3 linked regions of the Callithrix jacchus genome follow. The protein of the gene in region 3 interacts with the protein of the main gene of each other region in a biochemical or structural test. Links are inferred from orthologs where the notes say so. Each region holds a gene or a part of one and is shown on either strand. Other genes may lie near its edges.

Region 1 (6,570 bases), on a different chromosome or scaffold from region 3:
GTCTTGAGTGTCGGACAGATCCTTCACCTTGATTTCTCCTGCAACTATTTTGTATTCTGTGAAATCGGGCAGCTTAAGAGAAACTGGAGCTCAGGTATGGGAAGTTTCCCCAGTAGGACCTGAGGCCCCTGGAATGGCGATAAAAATAGATCAGTTGTGCTTGTGGCAGTTTTCCAGCAAGCAGGGCTTGTCTGGATGGATTGCACTGGGCCAGGTCCAATCAGAATGGCCCGGCGGGGAGGGGACAGGGACATTGGGCTGCAGAATGCTCATTCATTCGGGCAGCGGGGACAAGGACACGCTGCAGATTGCGGGAGAAGCGGCCCTGGGAATATCGACTGAGGCCCCTGGGTTTTTTTTTTTTTTTTGTCCAGCTGCCTTGGAAAGGAGAAAACCAAAAACACGAAAGCCAGAGCTCCACTGGCTCCTGCTACTTAAGAGCAAGCGTTCCTGGGAAGTCTCCATTGTACAAAATGCCCTTTTCCTGTGCATGGAGCAGCGTTCCGAGGGAAAGGAACTCCTGCAAAATCCGAGATAACAGTCATGGGTTTCGGCAGTGAGAGAACAGTCAGGAACAGGTCTAAAAGCCAGGAGCACGTGTGGCCTCGCTGCATCACGCTCCCTGGCGGGATAAAAATGATCTACCGCGGCGGTTACCAAGGCCGATTGTGGGATGCTGATGGGGCCTAGATTAAAAAGGTCACCAGTCCACCGGGTACCAGAAGCCACTGGGTATCCTTGCCCACGGCAGGGCCCACCCAGAGGTCTAACTGTCCTCCCACCTCCCCTCTCTGCGTGGTGATGGTGTCTGGACTCGCCACTCGAGGTAGGTTGAGATAGAAGGTATCCTCAGACATCAAGTGGTGGTCGTGCTCAGCCAGGTCGGGGGGTGAGAGTGTTGGGTCGGCGAGCGGCCCCCACCCTAGATGTAGGCCTCCTTGCTGGTGGAGCTGCCGGCCTGAGGCTGCTCGGGACCATTCTCCGGGCGAACGATGTCTTCGCTGGGCTGGACCATGACTTGGATGCGCTGTGGGCACCAGGGAGGAAGGCGTGAGGCTCTCTGGAGAAAACCCCAGGCTGGGGTGGACAGGACAGGCTGTGTCCTTTTCCTGCCCTCTCTTCAAGCCCATCCTGTCTGCTCTGCCTCCAAGCTACACCCAGACTCCAGCACAGCCCCGCATCCTGCCCCACATGGGTCATGCCACAGCCCTTCTCACTTGGGTTATTGCAACAACTCCCAGCCCTCAGCTTCCACTCCCGCCTTCATTCTGTCCTCTCACCCCTTCATTTTGTCCTCAACATAGCAGCAGGAGAGTTCTGTGAAAACCAGACTCAGATCACGTCCCTCTACTACTCAGGACCCAACAGAGGCTCCCATTTCACTGAGAAGCAGAGCCAAAGTCCTCCAAGGCCTTACATGACCTGGCCCCTGCCACCTCCCAGTCCTCAGTGTCCTCCCTTCTCCCTCGTGTATCCATCCCATCCACATGGGACTCCTCAATGCCCCGCAAACACAACAGGCACGCTCACAACCAGGGCCTTTGCACAGGCTGCACCCTCTGTCCGGCACAGTCTTTCTCTCAGATAGTGACAGCTCGCTCTCCGCCTCCCAAGTCTTGGCTCAAATGTTTTGCCTTCTCAGTGAGGCGTCACCTGGCACTCCCTAAACCCCCACCTACTTGATTTTTCTCTATAGTGTTCTTCCCACCCCACATGTTTTTTTTGCTTGTCTTCCTCTACCAGCATGGGAGTTCTAGGAGGGTGTGATTTCTGCTTATCTTGTTCACGGCTGTGTCCGCAGCATGGACAGTCTTGCCTGGCACATCATCAGGGTTTCATCCACATGTGCAAGATGGATAGATCCCCCACTGCCTTTGCCATCCTGCCCCATCAGCTCACACCCTGGCCTCAGGTACGCCCTGGCTCTTCCTACCAATGGGCCTTTGCACAAGCTGTGGTCTTTTCTGCAAGGGCACCCCCTCGACCTCTCGTCATGCCAAGCCCCGGCTGCTGTTTGGGGTTCTCCAGTGGATCATGGAAAATGAAAGCTTTGGACCCACAGTGGGAAGAAAGGGCTACAAGCCCTGGCTCTGGTCATAGCTTCCTGAGCTGGGAACCTGCTCACCCAACCCCTGCGGTTCCTCAGTTTCTCCATCTGAGGTTAGAGGAGGATGGCCCAGTAACTCTGGGGCTGCACGTAACCTACAGCCCGGCTTCCCTGTGCCTTGGACCTGAGAGTGCTTCCCCTGGGCCTGGCAGGTGCATCTCCCAGGGAACTACAGCGGAGAGCTACTTGTCCAGGGCCCTTCATGCTCTGACTCTCCACTCTTCCCAGTGGCATCTTCTCAGCCTGCACACACCTCATCAATGTCTCTGCTTGGTGCCTCCAGCACTCCCTTACTCCCTCAAGAACTGAGTACAGTTTAACAAAGTGCAGGCATGGACAGAGAACCCTATATGATGGTGAGGCCCTTGCTGGGGGCAGCAGGTCTTTTGTGCTCTGTCATTCCTTGTGGGTAAGATCACATTTTCTCTATATTAACCCTACAAATGAGATCTAGAGTGAGCCCTGGGCAAATGTGATCCCACCCTCCATCTGTTCCAAGCCCTTCATGATGCCCCATTGCCACCAGGATAAAGGCCAAAGTTCTTGTACTGGTTTTCAAAGGCCTTCACGATCTGGCATACCTTCTTACATCCCAGCTTCATCTCTTGTCATGCCCCCTCCTCACACCTCTTTCCTCTTTACCCTCCAGCCACACTGATCTCCCTTCAGTTCACCCGATACGGTTTATACCCCCGGACCTTTGCACATGCTTCCCAACCTCTCCTCCCCTCCCTCTTCTGGTAATCTTCTTTCTGCTTCTACTTTTAAGTCTGGTTTATCCTTAGGCCTCTCCTTTGTTATCCCCTGTTCTGGAAATCCTTCTTCAATCCTCCTTAAACCAGGTAGGGCTGAGGCAGGGCTATTTGCTCCCACCCCCCTGCCTTTAATACTCTATTGTCTTTGGCTGTTGGTTTGTCTGTCTCCCCAGCTAGACTGTGAGCTTCATAAGGGGTGGGGCTGTTCCTGGCACAGTGGGGGAAGGGCACTGGCAATTTGGAAGGTGGGAAAGGGCTTACCTGCTTCAGAGAGCCCTTTAAGGTGAGGAACATGTAGGCCATGTACCCGGGGATGAGGACCATGGAAGACAGAGCCATGAGCCAGCCCACACCTTGGCCCCACTTGGGGAAAACGTAGCTTCCCATGGTGAGAGGCGTCATCTGCACAGCACTGAAAATGAACACACCCTGGAGAGGGTGGAGGGGAGGGCATGGACGGGGAGGAGTCAGTCACAGAATGGACCACCCTGAAGCCAGCAGGCCGACTGCCCTCTACCCTTGCCTGGAGGCTGACCCAGCACCTTATGCACTGCTAGCACATAAGGTGCTTTTGTACATAATAGAAAAAGACACCCTCTCAGGGAAGATCAGTACGAAAAGGCTACCCCTCCAAGGAGACTAATTAGAAAAGGGAACCCTTTCCTCCAAGTTCCCCAGCTTCGAAAGCAGAGCAAGGGTGAGGTATCAGCTCCTGGTGTGCCACTGGCAGGGTCCCCTTATGTGGGACACAACATATGTAGTGGCTCTGCCCCCACCTCAAGGACCTCGAATGGCTCCTCCCTGGCCTGCCCCTGCTTCAGCTCCTGCTTGTGGGAATGAGGGACCCTGTGAAGAAGGGGTCTGCAAGTGCCAAGAGCTTGAGCTTCAGAATCAGGCCAGCTTGATTCGAATCCCAGAACTGATTAGCTGGGTGACGCTGGCTAGGTGATCCCCAGATCCTGCAGCAGTAAAGTGGCACAATAATGCCTCTTTTCTGAGGTTTGTGAGGGTGATATATGTGTCTTGTACCACACAGAGTGAAGGACAGATGCCCAACAGATGGCAAAGGAAGTATTATTAAGTAACAGGGTTTCTGGGACCTCTTCCACCTGCCTTTGGACCTGATTTCCCCCAGGGCCTGGTCTAGCCTCATCCTAACAGGGCTAATCAGGTCTTCCTCTTACCGCCACAATGATTGGGGTGAAGAAAGACCAGCAGAGCTTCCACCAGATGCAGGGCCTGGAGCCAACCATCTCTTGGATATTGTCATAGAATCGGTTGACACCTGTGACATTGGGAGCAGGAGAGATGGATGAGCTGTGAGTACTTTAGGGTCAAAGCCTGGTGCTACCACTTTCTCATAGCATGACCATGGGCAAGAACCCTAACTTCTCTGAGCCTCGGTTTCCTTGTCTGTGCCATGGGGTTAATGCTCAGGGGGTCCTTGTTACTAAGTACTTTTCAATAGCCCAGTTCTCATAGCAAGTGTGTAGGTAAGCAAGTAACTTTAATGTGACGATATCTACCAACAAAAGGATATTGACAAGATAATCCCCTGCACCCCTGCCACTCTCAATGTCCCTCCCACTCTACATCTATCCCAGCCATTCCTTCAAAGGCTTTCCTGGGCAGGGGCTGTTTTTCCCTGATATACAGCTGCTATAAGAAACTGGTAATCAGCTGCAAAGAAGAACTGCAAATCTCACAAAAAAGAAAAACCCTAAACCCACAGGGTATCTAGAAGTTCACCAGAGTGGCTGGGCACTGCTCCAATTACAAGCAGAGTCACTGACCAGTGAGGATCTGACCATGTTAGAACAGTTAGAGAGAAAAGGTGGTACTGGGAGTGTAAATTAGTACAACTTCTATGGAAATCAGTACAGAGATTTCTCAAAGAACCAGAAATAGAACCACCATTTGATCCAGCAATCCCACTACTGGGTATCTACCCAGAGAAAAAGAAATTATTACATCAAAAAGGTATCTGTACTCATGTGTTTATTCACAATAGCAAAGATATGGAATCAACCTAAGTGTCCATCAGTGGATGGCTGGATAAAGAGAATATGGTATACATACACAGTGGAATGCTATTCAGCCATAAAATAGAATGAAGTCATGCCTTTTGCAAAAGCCATCATCTAAAGCAAAACAACTCAGAAACAGAAAGTCAAATACTGCATGTTCTCACTTAAAAGTGGGAGCTAAACACTGGGGACAGGTGGATATAGAGTAGAATAATAGACACTGGTGACTCAGAACGGTGGGAGAGTGGGAGCTGAGGTAGATGGTGAGAAATTACTTAGTGGGTAGAATGCACATTATGTGGATGATGGGTACACTTAAAGCCCAGATTTTGCCACTACACAAGATATCCATGTAACAAAATTGCACTCAGATCCTTTAAATTTATACATATATAAAAAAAGAGAAGGGACAATGACAAGGCAGAAGAGGTGGCAGATATTGCAAAGAGGTGATACAGAATATTATGTTTCTTTCAAAACATTTGCTCTGCTGTGACAATCAAATATGCAGGAAAGGATGTTGTCACTTTTTACTATCATGCAGTTGGCTCAGGAAACTTAGGCCACAAAACAAACAAAATCAATGTTTCTCTTGTGATTTGTTTTAAGGTAGTGCACACTTTTCATTACTGCCTAGCTTTTTAAATCTATAACTTTAAAACTTTAAAAAATGGTTTTGGTTTCTGTTTTCTGAATAAAATCTCCAAAACCCTTTTTATTCCAAAATTTATAAAGAAATGTTGGCACCTATTTTAAATGAATTCATTTAACGGCTCTTATATCTTCTAGACATGGGAACCTCCTGGACTAACCTTACTGAATTGTAATGTGAAGAATAAATAAATACATAAATGTAGGGAAAATACCTGGTGTTCAAATTGCACTTGTTGAATGAGGACTGAAGAAAGGAATGAATGGATGAATGAGTGAATAAATAAGGGAGGAGGGGCTGATACTCACCGTAAAACCAGGAAATAGAGACACATTCAAAGAACACGAGAAACAGCAGGCTCATGCCACTGGCAGAGTAGTAATCAAAGAGTTTGAAGACATAAATGCCTCCCTGCAAGAGAAAAAGAGGTAAGAACAGGTGCACTTCCCCCAGTGCCCATCAGTGGATGGCAGCCAGTTCACAGACGACATGGGCTCTGCAGGCTGATGGGGTTGGTATTAGGCTGCATTGCAGCAAGAATGCTTCAGGATAGATTAGATGAAGCACTGAGGGCTTTGTGAGCATGAGAGTACATGGATATTGGCAGTCTGGGGATTGGGAAGGAAATGTTCAGGTGGTAGAGGGAAATGCCAATTTCTGGTACGGCTGGAGGACAGAAAGAGAAGTTGGTCACCAGGGCCGTCTGTTTACAGGTAAATCGGTCACGTCTCTCCCCTACTTAAAACCTTCCATGGCTTCAATGAGACAATAATGTAACACATAAATAAGCAGAGAGAGATCCCATCCCATCCCATCGCATCCCATCCCATCCCAATGTCTTGACCTGCAAGGTCTGCATGGGCTGCTTTTGATCTCGCACCCACTGCCTCACTCCCTCTGCCTCCGCCCCACTGGCTTCCTTCCTATCCCTCAAATGCCTCAGGGCTTTTGCACCTGCTCTACTCTTTCCCCAGATCTTTCTCTGGCTGGCTCTTTCTCATCATTTAAGTCTCAGCTCACTTTCTTGGA
Region 2 (6,927 bases), on a different chromosome or scaffold from region 3:
TGTTCCCGGAGGAAGTGACTTGAGTCATGAAGGATAAGTAGGAGTTACCCCGGAAATCCGGCAGAGAAGGAGCTAGAGTTTCCCAGGTTCTGGGGAACAACTTGTGTCAAGAACAACATAACGCATTTTGGAAATTTCTAGCAGTGTATCCTCGCTAAAGGCTTAGTGCTAATCGTACATCCCCGAGTGTAGAGGAAGAAAGCTTTAAAAGGTCAACAATGGCTAGATTTTGGAAGGTCTTGGAATTTTGGACTAATTTGTACTATGCGCACTGAAAGCTATTGAAGGGTTTTAAGCAGATGGGTGATTATTGTAAACCATTTGCTGCAGGAACCTTTCCACGCACCTCTAAGAATAAAACAAAGTGCTGGAAATCAAGAAAAGAAAGTGCTTCAAAAGGAAGTAGTCTATTCCTAAGGTATCAAGGAGGACGAAGCCTGAGAAATGTTTAAATTTAGTAACACAGTGGTCACTGATTATCTCAGTGAAAGCTGTTTGGTGAAATGCTGGGGTTGAAAGAAACAATAGTTTGGAGATGGGGGAGATGTAGAGATAGGGACAGGTTGTAGAATGCTTTTGGAAAGGTTGGCCTTGACAGGGAGGAAGGAGGGAGGATGATGAAGGATCAAGATTTTTTGTTTTTGTTTATTGGATTTTTTTTTTTTTTGAGACGGAGTTTCGCTCTTGTTACCCAGGCTGGAGTGCAATGGCGCGATCTCGGCTCACCGCAACCTCTCGCCTCCTGGGTTCAGGCAATTCTCCTGCCTCAGCCTCCTGAGTAGCTGGAATTACAGGCACGCGCCACCGTGCCCAGCTAATTTTTTGTATTTTTAGTAGAGACGGGGTTTCACCATGTTGACCATGATGGTCTCGATCTCTTGACCTCGTGATTCACCCACCTCGGCCTCCCAAAGTGCTGGGATTACAGGCTTGAGCCACCGCGCCCGGCCTAATTTTTTTTTTTTTTTTTTTTTTGAGACAGAGTCTTGCTCTGTCGACAGGTGCCAGGCTGGAGTGCAGTGGCGGGATCTCGGCTCACTGCAACCTCCGCCTCCTGCGTTCAAGCACTTCTCCTGCCTCAGCCTCCCAAGTAGTTGGGACTACAGGCACACGCCACCATGCCCAGCTAATTTTTGTATTTCTAGTAGAGATGGGGTTTCACCATGTTGGCCAGGATGGTCTTGATCTCTTGATCTCGTGATCTGCCCACCTCCCAAAGTGCTGGGATTAAAGGCGTGAGCCACCGAGCCCAGGTGTTTTTTTGGGTTTTTGTTAAAATTAAGACAGGAGAAATTTGAGCACTGTAGGGAAGATTCAACTGAGAAATAATGTTCGAATAAAGGAAGAGAAGGGATAGTCAGTAGGGAAAGTTCTTGAAAGGGTAAGAATAGCAGCAGTTTCGAGGCAGTTCAAAGCACTGGTGAGAGGAGTGGTTTTGGAAGAAGTGAGGGAGGGAGAAAGAGAGAGAGTGAAGATACTTCCTTCCCCAATTATGAGAGGAAGAATGTGTCTGTTTGTATGTTTAGTAAAAGGAAGTTAAAGTTCTCATTTGATGACCTGTTTTCTCTGTGAGGTTGGAGATAGGATCATCTGACAGAAAAGGAGATAGTATTGGGAGTTTAAAGGAAAGTTGAGAAGATTTGGAATATTGTAGAAAGTAATACAAGAAATGGATAGAAAAACATTGTAGGACTGGTAAGCAGTACTGAGGGCCTTTTTAATATGGGCAAAAATGAACTCACCATTTTCTCCCTTCCTGTGTAGCTTTCTCAAGCAGTAGTCACTTTTCAAGGGCAGAGGTGGAGAAAATGCACAGTTGAGTTCATTTAGGGTTGGGATGGTCATTGATAATAATTCCATGGTTCTCAACCAGGGACACTTTTGTCCTCCAGAGGATATTTAGCAATGTCTGTGATAACAGGGAAATGGGGGGTGGATACTACTGGCATCTTGTCCAGTGATGCTGCTAAACATACACACACACACACACATACACACACACACACACAGAGAGAGAGAGAGAGAGAGAGAGAGAGACAGACAGAGAGAGAAAGAGAGACAGGGTCTTGCTCAGACTGGAGGGCAGTGGTGTGATGTTGGCTCACTGCAACCTCTACCTCTGCAGCTCAGATCCTCCCACCTCAGCCTCCCAAGTAGCTGGGAGTACAGGTGTGTACTACCACACCCGGCTAACTTTCATATTTTTTGTAGAGATGAGGTTTCACCATGTCACTTATGCTGGTCTCAAACTCCTGGACTCAAGCGATCTGTCTGCCTTGACCTCCCAAAGTTCTAGGATTACATATGTGAGCTAGTGCTCCCGATCTGCTGCTAAACATCTTATAATGCACATAATACCCTTGACAACAAAAAAGTATATGTTCCAAAAATGTCAGTAATCCCAAAGTTGACAAACACTAAAGTAGCTTACCTTAATAATCACCAATATCTGACTGTGGTCTTCTAAAGGCTTTTCCTTGAACGATGGGCCAGAGTTTACAGGGCAAAATAGTTCTTCCATTGCATGCCTTTGAAGGAGAGTAAAATGAGCAGCATACCATAGCCCTTGAGTGTTTCAAGGACTTGTGATGTCACAAACACAGAACTGGAAGTTTCCTGAACCTCTAGAAGCAAATCTGGATATACATAGAGATGAATGTAACTGCTCACTTTTATTTGAGGCATTGACGGTCTGGTTAAACAGAGATGTTATAATCTCAATAATATAAGAGGAACACTTCACATAATGATCAACCTTAATGTCATTTCCTTTATCTGATTAGTCTCAGTCACTAAAATTACGGCTCTGAGGGAATGGGTATGAGCTAAGTTTAATAATAAATATAGGCGGCTGGGCACAGTGGCTCACATCTGTAATCCCAGGACTTTGGGAGGCCGGGGCGGGCAGATCACTTGAGGTCAGGAATTTGAGACCAGCCTGGCCAACATGGCGAAACCCCATCTCTACTAAAAATACAAAAATTATCTGGACATGGTGGTGTATGTCTGTAATTCCAGCTACTTGAGAGGCTGAGGCAGGAGAACTGCTTGAACCCGGAAGGCAGAGGTTGCAGAGAACCAAGATAGTGCCACTGCACTCCAGCCTGGATGACAGAGTGAGACTTCGTCTCAGTAATAATAATAAATGTAGGCTGGGCGCAGTGGGTGACACCTGTAATCCAGCACTTTGGAAGGCTGTTCACTTGAGCCCAGGAGTTTGAGACTAGCCTGGGCAAGATGGTGAAACCCGTTTCTACCTAAAAAAAAAAAAATTATAAATACCTTAGGCATGAGTAAGAATAAAACCAGTTATAATGGAATGTCTGCTCTGTGATAGGCAGCATTCATGGATAAAACACTTGACCTATGTTATTTAATTTTAGCAACACCCTGTGAGATAACATTGTCTTAATTTTAGGGTTTTTTGTTTGTTTTTTTTTTTTTGAGACCGAGTCATGATCTGTTGCCAGGCTAGAGTGCAGTGACGTCATTTCGGCTCACTGCAACCTCTGCCTCCCGGGTTCAAGCGATTCTTCTGCCTCAGCCTCCTGAGTAGCTGGGACTACAGGCGCCCGCTACCATACCAGGCTATTTTTTTTTTTTTTTTTTTAAGTAGAGAAGGGGTTTCACCATGTTGGCCAAGATGGTCTCCATCTCCTGACCCACCCACCTCGGCCTCCCAAAGTGTTGAGATTACAGGCATGAGCCACCGTGACTGGCCCAACATTATCCTAATTTTAACTCAAGATCTTGAGGTTCCAAGAAAAATTTTAATTTACCCAAAGTCGTAAATTATTAGTAGCTAGTCCGAGATCTGAAACTCGGGCAGGTCTGTCCTAAAAGCTCTTGCACCTCCCATTAAATTTTAGTAAATTTTACAAGGAAGGAGTTATTTCAAATTTTAGCCTGAACAGTTGCCACTGACTAAAGGAAATGGCGGGACACCAAGGAAGGAGCTAGAGGGAGGCCGGGAAAGAACAAGGAGAAATAAAGAAAATGAAAAAGGGACCAGGGAGACTGTTCATAGCGTCCAATGCTGCGGACCGACTCTCCCGCAAGCTGACCTGCCTTTGTTCTTCCTCCATTCTTTTTGAGAAAAACCTCTTCCTGTGTGTCCGTTGTTCACTCTCTTGTGTTCAAATAAAGCTAGATTATTGAGAACGGCTGCAGGCAAAGGAAAAAAAAGAGCGTGACGGCCTCGCTGTGCGCCTGCGCGCTGGCGGCGGCTGTGGCAGGGCCCGGCGGGGAGCGGGTCCGGAGCAGGCTCCCGGACCCAAAACTGAAGGGGGGAGTCTGGGGCGTCAGGGAGCTCCCTCGCCTGTCTCTCGGCGGCCTGATGGAGTAAGAGGGGTTGGCTGTGAATGTGAGTATCGATGGGCCGGCCTGCGTTGAGCGTATTGGAGCCCAAGGGTCCTGGTGGTCTGTCCCTTAGGGAGATTGTGTGGCTGCAAGACGCGGCCCGCTTTCTGCTCCGGCAGGCTGCGGCGCAGGGGTAACCCAGCGGTCCACTCTCCCAGAGCCGGCGCGGGATTACAGGCAGGCGGTGCTGCTGGCTTCGGGGTACGGATTTTCGTGGGGGCGTTCCAGCTCTGCTCCCAGCCCCAGAAGGAAATGTGGCTCCAAAGCCTTGACCTTTAGGGGAAGCCGCTGACCTTCGGTCCTCAGTTGGGCAGGGAGTCCAAAAGACCCTGGTGCTTAAAGCCGGTAGTCTCAGGTCCCGCGACACATTTCAACCTCTCGCGACTGACAACCTTCGTTCCTTTTTCTCCTTTCCTTTCTCTCCGTGTGTGATGTATCTTAATAATGGCAACTAATTATGGAGCGGTTACTGTGTTCATTTAATATTTAGTCAGAATCTCGGTTTATAGTTATGGAGAGGAAACGCTTTACACCCTCCTCCCATTTCAGTTTGTTGTTTAATCATCTTTGAGAGTAAGATTTGTTGAGAAGTTCGAGATTCGCTTTTAGCAACTTGAGACTGCCATTCTAGGTCAGGGAAGTTCTCTTGCTTAGCAAACAAGTGCTGTATCCACCGTAATGGTTTATATCCAGCCTATTCAAACCACAAATAACTTTTGAGTACTTACTAAGAGTTTAGTACTGTTGTAAATCCCATGGGAAACCTTAAAATTTGCTTTAAGGGCCGGGCGCGGTGACTCATGCCTGCGATCTTTGGGAGGCCTAGGCGGGTGGATCACGAGGTCAAGGAGTTCAAGACCAGCCTGACCAAGACGGTGAAACCCCGTCTGTACTAAAAATACAAAAAATTAGCCGGGCTTGGTGGTGGGCGCCTGTAATCCCAGGACTCTGGAGGCTGAGGCAGAGAATCGGTTGAGCCCCAGGAAGCGGAGGTTGCAGTGAGCCGAGACCGCGCCACTGTACTCCCTCCTGGGCGAGAGAGAGGCTCAATCTCAAAAAAAAATTTTTTTTTTTTTTGCTTTAAGGCCCGTTCTCAAGTTTGGTCGTGAATGAAATAAGGGACGACAGTATTCAGATGCAACTAGAATTTATTTAGTATCTACTACACAGTTGCCAATTACATTTACGTGTGTCATAAAAATATTAATGAGATATTGTAATGGAAAGTAGGTTTCTGCAGCATTTCAAATGAGATCGCTGGGATTTTGCTAGTAATTTGCTCAAGCTAAACTAGCTAGAGTAGGTGGTGAAATTCACTTAATACGATTCCAAAAGCACGTCTTTTCCCAAGCAAACTGCATTACAGTTACAGTTTCTAGAGTTAACTTTTTTTTTTTCCCGGAGACGAGTCTTGCTCTGTCGTCCAGGACAGAGTGCAGTGGGGCAAACCCTGCTCACTGCAATGTTTGCCTCGCTGATTCAAGCAATTCTCCTGCCTTAGCCTCCCCAGTAGCTGGGATTACAGGCATCCACCACCACCCCCGGCAAATTTTTGTATTTTTAGTAGAGACACTGTTTCATCATGTTGGCCAGGCTGGTCTCGAACTCCTGACCTCAGGTGATGCGCCCACCTCAGCTTCCGAAAGTGCTGAAATTACAGGCTTGAGCCACCTCGCCTAACCTGGATCGTTTTGAGTAAAAGGAAGATACTAAAAAGACCATAGATTTCATCTGATTTTTATCTCTGGAATTCTCTTTTAATCTAGAACAGTTACCTTTTCCCCTCTCTTTCCCTCGATACCCCCTCCACGTGAGTTGTTGAAAGGACCTGGTCAGTTATCTAGATTTGTCCCTGATTGGTTTCTGGTGATAGCATTTCACTTGCTACTACAAACTGGAAGTTAGAGCAGATCACTTGATATGATTCAGGTGAAACTGAATAGCGATTATTGTACATCTAGATTAGAACACATGTAGTTTGAAGGCTGCTCGACAAGAGTAGAAAGGAATAATGGTAGATGCTAGATGATTTGGTTTTGGGACCAGGAATGGGTCAGTGAGAAGCCTATGCATTGTGTTTTGTAATTGGAGAATCTTGGAGAGTTCAGGATTAATTGTGTACCCAATGAATAAGAGCATCGAGGCAGACAAGTTACATATGAATACTCTACTTGGACCTCTAGCATGTGAAATCACTAGTGAAGCCCTACAGTCCAGTGTGTGTGCATGCATCTATTAATCTGAAAGAAACTATCAAGAAGTTCCCAGGTGTTCATCAGTAAAGGATTGGTAAAATAAATGTATCCATGTGCTGGAAAGAATGAGTCAGCTCTATATGTGCTAATATTGAGTGACCTCAGATATAGTGAGAAAGAAAAGGTGCAAAAGAAGGTATGCATTTTGCAACCACTGTGGTTTTATAAAAATATATGTATTGCATATACAGTTGGTCCTCCATATCCGTCCATGGGATCTGCATCCATGGATTCAACCAACTTTGGATGGATAATATTTGGGGAAAAAATTTTCATGAAGCTCTGAAAAAGAAAACTTGAATTTGCTACCTGC
Region 3 (6,890 bases):
CTACAAAGGCACTTCCAGCTGTGACGCGGTGTGGTGTGTGCACCTGTGTAAATGCACACCTACCCCAGGCTCTGCATGTGCATGATGTCTGCTAGCTCCGGACACCCTGTGCCTTGGTACCACCCCCTTTCTGCTCAGAGGCTGGCTGTGTAGGAGGGGCCATGTCCACAGTGGGGAGAGCCAAGGGGGGGTCCTCCTGCAGGGCGTGGGGTGTGCGTGTCTGGGTTCACCCAGCATACCGGGCTTCTGCATGAGACCAGGAAGTGCTGGCCACTTCTTTAACCCTCTTTAGCATAAGTGAGGGGCAGTGCCCGCCCAGAGTGGAGTACCCCCTCCACAAAGCCTTGGGCGGGTGTGTCCCTGGGCCCAGCCCAGAGCCTGGCACCAATGGGCCTTGCCAAGTAGCTGTTGAGTGAATGGGCACATGACACCACCCTCAGAAAGGAAAGCAAGATCCGGCACACCCCCTCAAGGCAAGCAAAACCCCATGGGCTACCCAGAGGAAGCAGGCCTAGAATACCCCCCACCCACCCCAGACAAGCCTGACTCACTCTTTAATTTGGATCGGACTTTGTTCGCTGTCTTCTTTATGTCCGACATGAGTTCTTCCAGCTCCTCCTTCGTCTCTGGGGAGGTAGAAAGGGTGGGAGTAGACCCCCTAGGCTCCCCCAAGAACTGATGTTCAGGCTCGGCCTCTGGCACAGGGGACCCAACGGGGGGCTCTCGGTAGATCCCAGTTCTCCCCTGTTCCCCTGGCTAGGGCTCTGCCTGTCCCCCCCAATTCTGGACCAGGGCCACACCAGCTGCAGCCTCACCCCCTCTTGTGCTGTCTTCGGAGGAGCCTCCCTTCCTCCTTCGCCGGCGCCCCCACCCCCTGGAGATAACAGATGGGTCTAAATTTAAGGCAGAAATAATTGTGGAGCAGCTGGCGACGCTGGAGTCAGCGCAAGAAACAGGGACTTGATGCTTGTTGGAGTTGAAGGTGGGGGGTTCGGGCTCACCTGGTGTTACCTAATGGCTCAGGAGGGCACACAGCCCAGCCAGGGACTGACAGGGGACCAGGGGTGGCAGGAAGCCTCCCCCACCTCGCACTTCCTGAGTTGCAGGCTCAAACACTCTGGGTGGGGCAGACAGCTATTTCCACAAAGCTGCGCCTCCCTGGGTGCTAAGTGCCCAGCAGGTGGAAGCGGACAAGGGGCGGACGGCCTGCGTGGGGGCTGATGTGGGCCCTCAGGTTCAAAGAGGTGGGCACAGTCGGCCCTGGCCGTGGCAGGTAGCCGGGGCCCTGGTGAAGCTGGAGGAGGGTGGATAGTGTCGTGTGGTCCTGGTTCCAGCTACAGCCATCTCCCTAAGGCTGGCAGAGGCCGTGGGGCGCCCAGCTCGCCCCCTCCCTGAGAGGAGCTAGCTGGAAAAGTGGGGCAAGACAGCTGCCTCCCCTGGGGGTGCTCCTGGCAACAGCCCAGTCTCAGGACACCCCCAGGACTCCACCCTGGGAGAAGCCGGGATTGAGCTCCGGCTGTCACCTTCCCACCCGCCCCTCTGCCTGCCTCTGGGGCTGGGGTTTGTTCTAGAGGGATGGGGAGGGGTGCTGAGAGAGGTCTATGAGGAAGGCCTCAGATGGGGTCACCTCTCAAGTGGAATGCGATGGGGTGGAGCACAGAAGAGGGGGTTCCGAGGCGCGGAGGAGGGCGCCTCATCCGTAGGAACAAAGGAAAACTCGGTTACCAGCTGCTCTGACGTCTCAGCCTCTTTTGCTCAGACCCAAAATAGCGCAGGCCGGATGGCAGCCCCGAGGAGGCAGAGCCTGCCTTGCCCAGGAGAGCCCCCCACTCACTGCCATCTTTCCTTGAGACTCCTCCCTAAGTCTGTGCCACCTGTGCCCTAGAACCCCCAACATGAGCCCCCTCCCCTTGGCGAGAGCCTGGGACTACCAGGTCTCAACCGTCTGCTCACAGGTGGTGACTCAGAACCAGTCCCTGTGACTGTGCTTGACACCGAGGTGGGAGACGGTGCAGGAGGTGGCCTGCGGGGACCCGAGGTATGGAGCAGACAGCTCTGTTGCCCCACGCCCACCCCACCTACCTGCAATGACAGGCCCACTCCCCTGCTGTTTAGAGCCCTCTGTCCCCACCCCACAATCAGCCACCTCCTGACCCTGAGCAGGAGCAGCCCCACACAGGGAAACATGCACACGGTGACCCAGATACCTCCAGACGCACAGGCATCCGGCTCATGCTGCCATCCAACAAATCTCTCGGGCAAGGAGCGCAGCGTGGTGAGCCCTGGGCATCCCTCTCTCCCTCCTGGCCTTACTGAGGCAATCCACCCTGCTCCCACCTGACCTATTTTGCCTTCCGAGGGCGGGGAACTGGCTTGATTGGTGTGACCTCGACCTCGGTTCAGGCACTGTGGAAAGACCTACTCCAAGTTCTTGAAGATGCCCAAGTGGGCTTGGGGGTAAGCCGTGCTGGAGGTGAGAACATTTGAGCCTGGGAGACTTCCTCCCTCAAACACCTGACTGCTGCATCCCTGGGACTCTGGGTGAGCCCCCCTCCAGAGGAGGGGACCCAGGCGGGCCTGCACCTATGCCATCAGCCTGGCACCTCTCAGGAGAGTGACCAATATCACAACAGGAACGAGAGGGCCAGGTCAGGGGGGCCTGTCTGGGGGCAGAGTGCAAGCCTGACCCACACAGGCTCCCAGCCCGGATGGAGAGGGGTGACTTCCTGGAGCCCTGATAATGCCCACCCCCAGGGTGCCACGTGGCCAGGGGCCAGGGCTGCCAGCTCTTTCCGGAAGCTCTGCCTGCTTGGCCAGCTTGCCCTCCCACAGCGCTGACGCCTCAGAGCTGCCATCTGCTCCCCTGGGAGTCGAGGGGAGGGGCTGGGCTGGGCTGAGAGGGTGCCTAATGATCACAGACAGCTCCTGCCTTCCCTCCCTCACTCCCAGAAGCCTAGGGCTGCAGCCAGCCTGGTTGCCTTAGAAAAAAGCCAGTTCACCTGGGAAGGGTGGAGCCGATCGCCTCTCCCACCACCCAAGTCTTCGTGGATACCTGGTCTGGCTGTCCTGGGATGCTGGGTACTGATCCCCCAATTCCAGGCTGGGGACAGCAGCATTTCCCAAAGCTTCTCATGAAACCCTTCTGACCCTGGCCAGCCCAGGCACACCTAAGCCCACCAGCCATGAAGGCTGCTGAGGTCCTATGAGGCCTTCCTGGCAGCAGCCCCTTTGGGAGACCTGTGGGACCTGAAACCTGTCCCTGACCCCACACTCACTCTCATCAGGGTTGGGGGAGGCCAGGATGGCGCTGTGCTTCCGCTTCACCTCCTCCACGTTCTCTGCGATCTTGTCAATGAAGCCTCGAATCTCCTCCACCTGCGGACCAAGGCCGGGTGATCAGGAGGAGGAAATCGGGGGAGGAGGCTTCTGGGGCCCAGGGCTGGCCCGGAGCAGGGCTGCGGTCAGGGCTCAGGGACAGGCCAGGCAGGCTCCAAGGGGGTGTGTCCCTCCAGACCCAGATGGGGAGGAGTTCGATCCCAGATTTAGCTCTGCTCTGAGCTTCCATCTATTCACCCTCAAAGCGGTTCATTCATTGGCACCCCAGAGCTGCTGAGCCGGGTGCAGGTGGGTAAGAGGCCCCCCGAGGTCTGCTAGTGTGCGGGGAGGGTGGGGTGTGCTCCCACCTGCTCAAAGAACTCATCCATGAAGCGGTCTCGGTCCACGGTGACAGCGACATCGTCATCATCATCGCTGTCCTTGGCCTGTGCGGGGTTGTGTACACATGAGCGGATGTGTGTATAGGACCCACCTGTACACACGCAGGTGCCCAGGGTGCAGCGCCGGAGCCCCACCCCTCCCCCTCTCCCTGGAGGCCTCTGGGCAGGGACAAGAACAGGCCTGGCTGTGCCCTCCACTCTCAGCCACAGGAAGACCTGGAGGACCACTGCGGGGTGGGCAGAAAGAGAGGAACCTTCCCTGGCACACTGGTGTCAAGGCCAAGACTCAACCTCTGGGCCGGGGATTCCCTCCCTCGCCTATCCGACCACCCTCTCCCTGCAGCTGGGGAGGCAATCCAGCCTGGGGCCAGCCCCTCTGGGTCCCCTAGACCCTTGGGACAGCTGCCTGGAAAGAGCATCTCTACTCTCCTGGCCAGTGGTTCGCACACACACCCACACACACTTTTTAGAGCGGAGGTCTTGCTGTGTCACCCAGGATGGAGTGCAGGGGTGCAATCACAGCTCACTGCAGCCTTGAACACCTGGGCTTAATTGATCCTCCCACCTTGGCCTCCCAAGTAGCTGGAATTATAGGTGTGCACAACCATGAGTGGCCCCAGTGGTTTAAATTCAGGTGGAGCCCAGAGGTCCCAAGCTCCCTTTCCAGAGTGGGCCCTGTAACGGGAAGGAAGCCTGTCCACTCTGTTCCAGGGCTGGGCGCCACTAAACCCCAGCCCAGAGGTGGGATGGCTCAGAAGATCTCCTAAGAATCTCTTGGCCATCTTTTTGTAAAACCATTTTTAAATTTAATTTTCATTTTTGTAGAGACGGTGGTTAGGGGGGTCTCACTATGTTGCCCAGGCTGGTCTTGAACTCCTGGCCTCAAGTGATCCTCCTGCCTCAGCCTTCCAGAGCGCTGGGATTATAGGTGTGAGCCACCACACCTGGCCTCCCTGTCAATCTTGACATTGGACCTCACTCTGCCTCCTTCTGCCCCAGACCTGGGCCCAGCAGGCATGAGGGGCCAATCATGTTGCCAGATGTCTCGAGTCCTGCCTTAGGCCTCAGCCACAGGTGCAGGCCCCACCCCACCACCCAGGAGCCGCTGTACAAAAGCCACCCCCATCATGGGGAGGGGGTAGTTATACTTCTGACTTCCCAGCATGCTGGGCATGGTGATTACTGTCTACCTCACACCAAGAGTCAGCCGGGGTCAGCCCACCTGGCTGGCAAGGCCAGCGTCTCTCTCTCTGCAGCCAAGGCAAGGCTATCCGGGGTGGCCATTCTGGATCAGGGACTGACGTCTCTCAGCCTGGGGCTCAGGGCTTGTTCTTACCTCTTTTTTTTTTTTTTTTTTTTAAGAGAGTCACTCTGTTGCCCAGGCTGGAGTGCAGTGTTGTGATCTCAGCTCACTACAACCTCTGCCTGCTGGGTTCAAGCAATTCTCCTGCCTTAGCTTCTTGCCTTAGAGTAGCTGGGACTATAGGCCCGCTCCACCACGCCCGGGTAATTTTTGTATTTTTAGTAGAGATGGGGTTTCACCATGTTGGCCAGGCTGGTCTCGAACTCCTGACCTCAAGTGATCCACCTGCCTCGGCCTCCCAAAGTGCTGGGATTACAGGCGTAAGCCACCTTGCCTGGTCTTGTTCCCCTCATTTCTGACTGCCTCACGGGAGAGGCCACTGCCTGGCCTAGCACTGACTCCACCTTGGTCCTCTCTTGTTAGGATGGAGGCAGGTGAGGCTGAGGGGCTGAGAGTGAGGGGACTCATCAGGCTGGGCCTTGACCCCTCTGGCTGTTTGCTCTTCTATGCCATGGGGACAGTGACACCTGGCTGCGCAGAGGGAGGGCTGAGGATGAGCGGGGAAGCAGGGCATGTTTGTTCATTTGATTGACTGATTGAGACAGGGTCGTGCTCTGTCACCCAGACTGGAGAGCAGTGGCACAATCACAACTCACTGCAGCCTCGACCTCCCAGGCTCGATATCCTTTCCCCTCAGCCTCCCAAGCAGCTGGGACTATAGGTACATGCCACCACAGACAGCTAATTTTTTTATTTTTTTTGTAGAGACAGGGTCCAACTGTGTTGCCCAGACTGGTCTCGGACTCTTGGGCTCAAGTGATCTTCCCACGGTGGCCTCCCAAAGTGCTGGGAGTACACGTGGGAGCCACAGAGCCCGGCCTGAGCATGTTCTGTGAGGGGCTGTGCCCCTGGGGCTCACAGCTCCCATCACACCAGCAAAGTGGGGGGACTCATTGGGAGAGGGGGTGGGTGGGAGCTTTGATAGAGGCGGCTCAGAGGGGCCTCCTCTCTTCAAGATATCACACCACCTCCCCAGCAGCTAAAATAAATTCTTGTTCCTGCTCCCCACCAAGTGCCTGTGGCTGTCACCAGGTGGCACCCCTCCCCCACCAGGCCCCCCACAAATCCAGGAGCTGTTTTCATGTTTTAGACCGTGACAGGCCCAGGAGTTGAGTCAGAGGAGCCCTCCCTAGGGAAACCGAGGCAGAGCACAGCCAGGAGGAGTGCAGTTCCTCCTCTGGGCAGCCTGCCAGGTTGGGAAGGGGCCGCAGGAGTTACTGCCTTCTGCATCCTGCCCTCTCTTCCCTGGCGCTCAGAGAACACAGGTAGATGACAAAGGGTAGAAGGAGAGTTTGCCAGCTCCTTTCCTGTGGCCAGAGACAAGAGTCACTGCCAGCCCCACCAAACCCCTGTCTTGTCCTCAGAGATCCCTGGGCACCTGGCTGGTGCCTCTCTTGACCTCAGCTTGCCCATCTGTGTAGTGGGGGTGTATCTTCTCCAGGCATCTGGCCAGCTCTGACTTGCTACCTCCCAAAAGGCTGAAGACTGAACGAGGAAGCTTCTCTAACAGAAGGGCTGGCAGGAGAGATGCCCACACCCTCCTCTGGCCCCTCTGTCTATGGGGGAAGGGCTGGGGAAAGGGAGACCAGGGCCAGGGTCTGATGGGGGCACCCAGGTCAGGTCTACCCTGGAAGTGGCACTGAGATTGGCCCCTAAGCCAGTTGGAGGGCTGAGGGCCTGACCTCTCAGCCAGGGTCAAATCAGCCACGGCTCCAAGCATAACCTAGAGGGGACGGGCCAAGGGGACCCTTCCTTCCCAGGTCCTCCTCTTCCTTCCTTCTTGGGAATCTTCATCCCCAGCTTTGCTCTTT

The links.
Region 1: the proteins of STX1A (region 3) and SLC6A1 form a complex in vitro, tested with the Homo sapiens proteins (2 studies listed by BioGRID). The link is inferred for Callithrix jacchus from reciprocal best matches to the Homo sapiens genes STX1A and SLC6A1.
Region 2: the proteins of STX1A (region 3) and SNAP23 form a complex in vitro, tested with the Homo sapiens proteins (3 studies listed by BioGRID). The link is inferred for Callithrix jacchus from reciprocal best matches to the Homo sapiens genes STX1A and SNAP23.

The regions. Positions count from the first base shown.
Region 1 is NC_133516.1:68,198,852-68,205,421, reverse strand, and holds part of SLC6A1 (sodium- and chloride-dependent GABA transporter 1), read right to left. Parts: intron 5,953-6,570; coding exon 5,850-5,952; intron 4,148-5,849; coding exon 4,047-4,147; intron 3,292-4,046; coding exon 3,124-3,291; intron 1,028-3,123; coding exon 923-1,027; 3' UTR 1-922. UniProt on the Homo sapiens protein: Mediates transport of gamma-aminobutyric acid (GABA) together with sodium and chloride and is responsible for the reuptake of GABA from the synapse. The translocation of GABA, however, may also occur in the reverse direction leading to the release of GABA.
Region 2 is NC_133509.1:30,174,806-30,181,732, reverse strand, and holds the start of SNAP23 (synaptosomal-associated protein 23), read right to left. Parts: upstream 4,149-6,927; 5' UTR 4,065-4,148; intron 2,637-4,064; exon of another isoform or gene 2,529-2,636; 5' UTR 2,432-2,528; intron 1,910-2,431; exon of another isoform or gene 1,784-1,909; 5' UTR 1,743-1,783; intron 1-1,742. UniProt on the Homo sapiens protein: Essential component of the high affinity receptor for the general membrane fusion machinery and an important regulator of transport vesicle docking and fusion.
Region 3 is NC_133503.1:9,981,903-9,988,792, reverse strand, and holds part of STX1A (syntaxin-1A), read right to left. Parts: intron 3,762-6,890; coding exon 3,684-3,761; intron 3,376-3,683; coding exon 3,276-3,375; intron 627-3,275; coding exon 552-626; intron 1-551. UniProt on the Homo sapiens protein: Plays an essential role in hormone and neurotransmitter calcium-dependent exocytosis and endocytosis.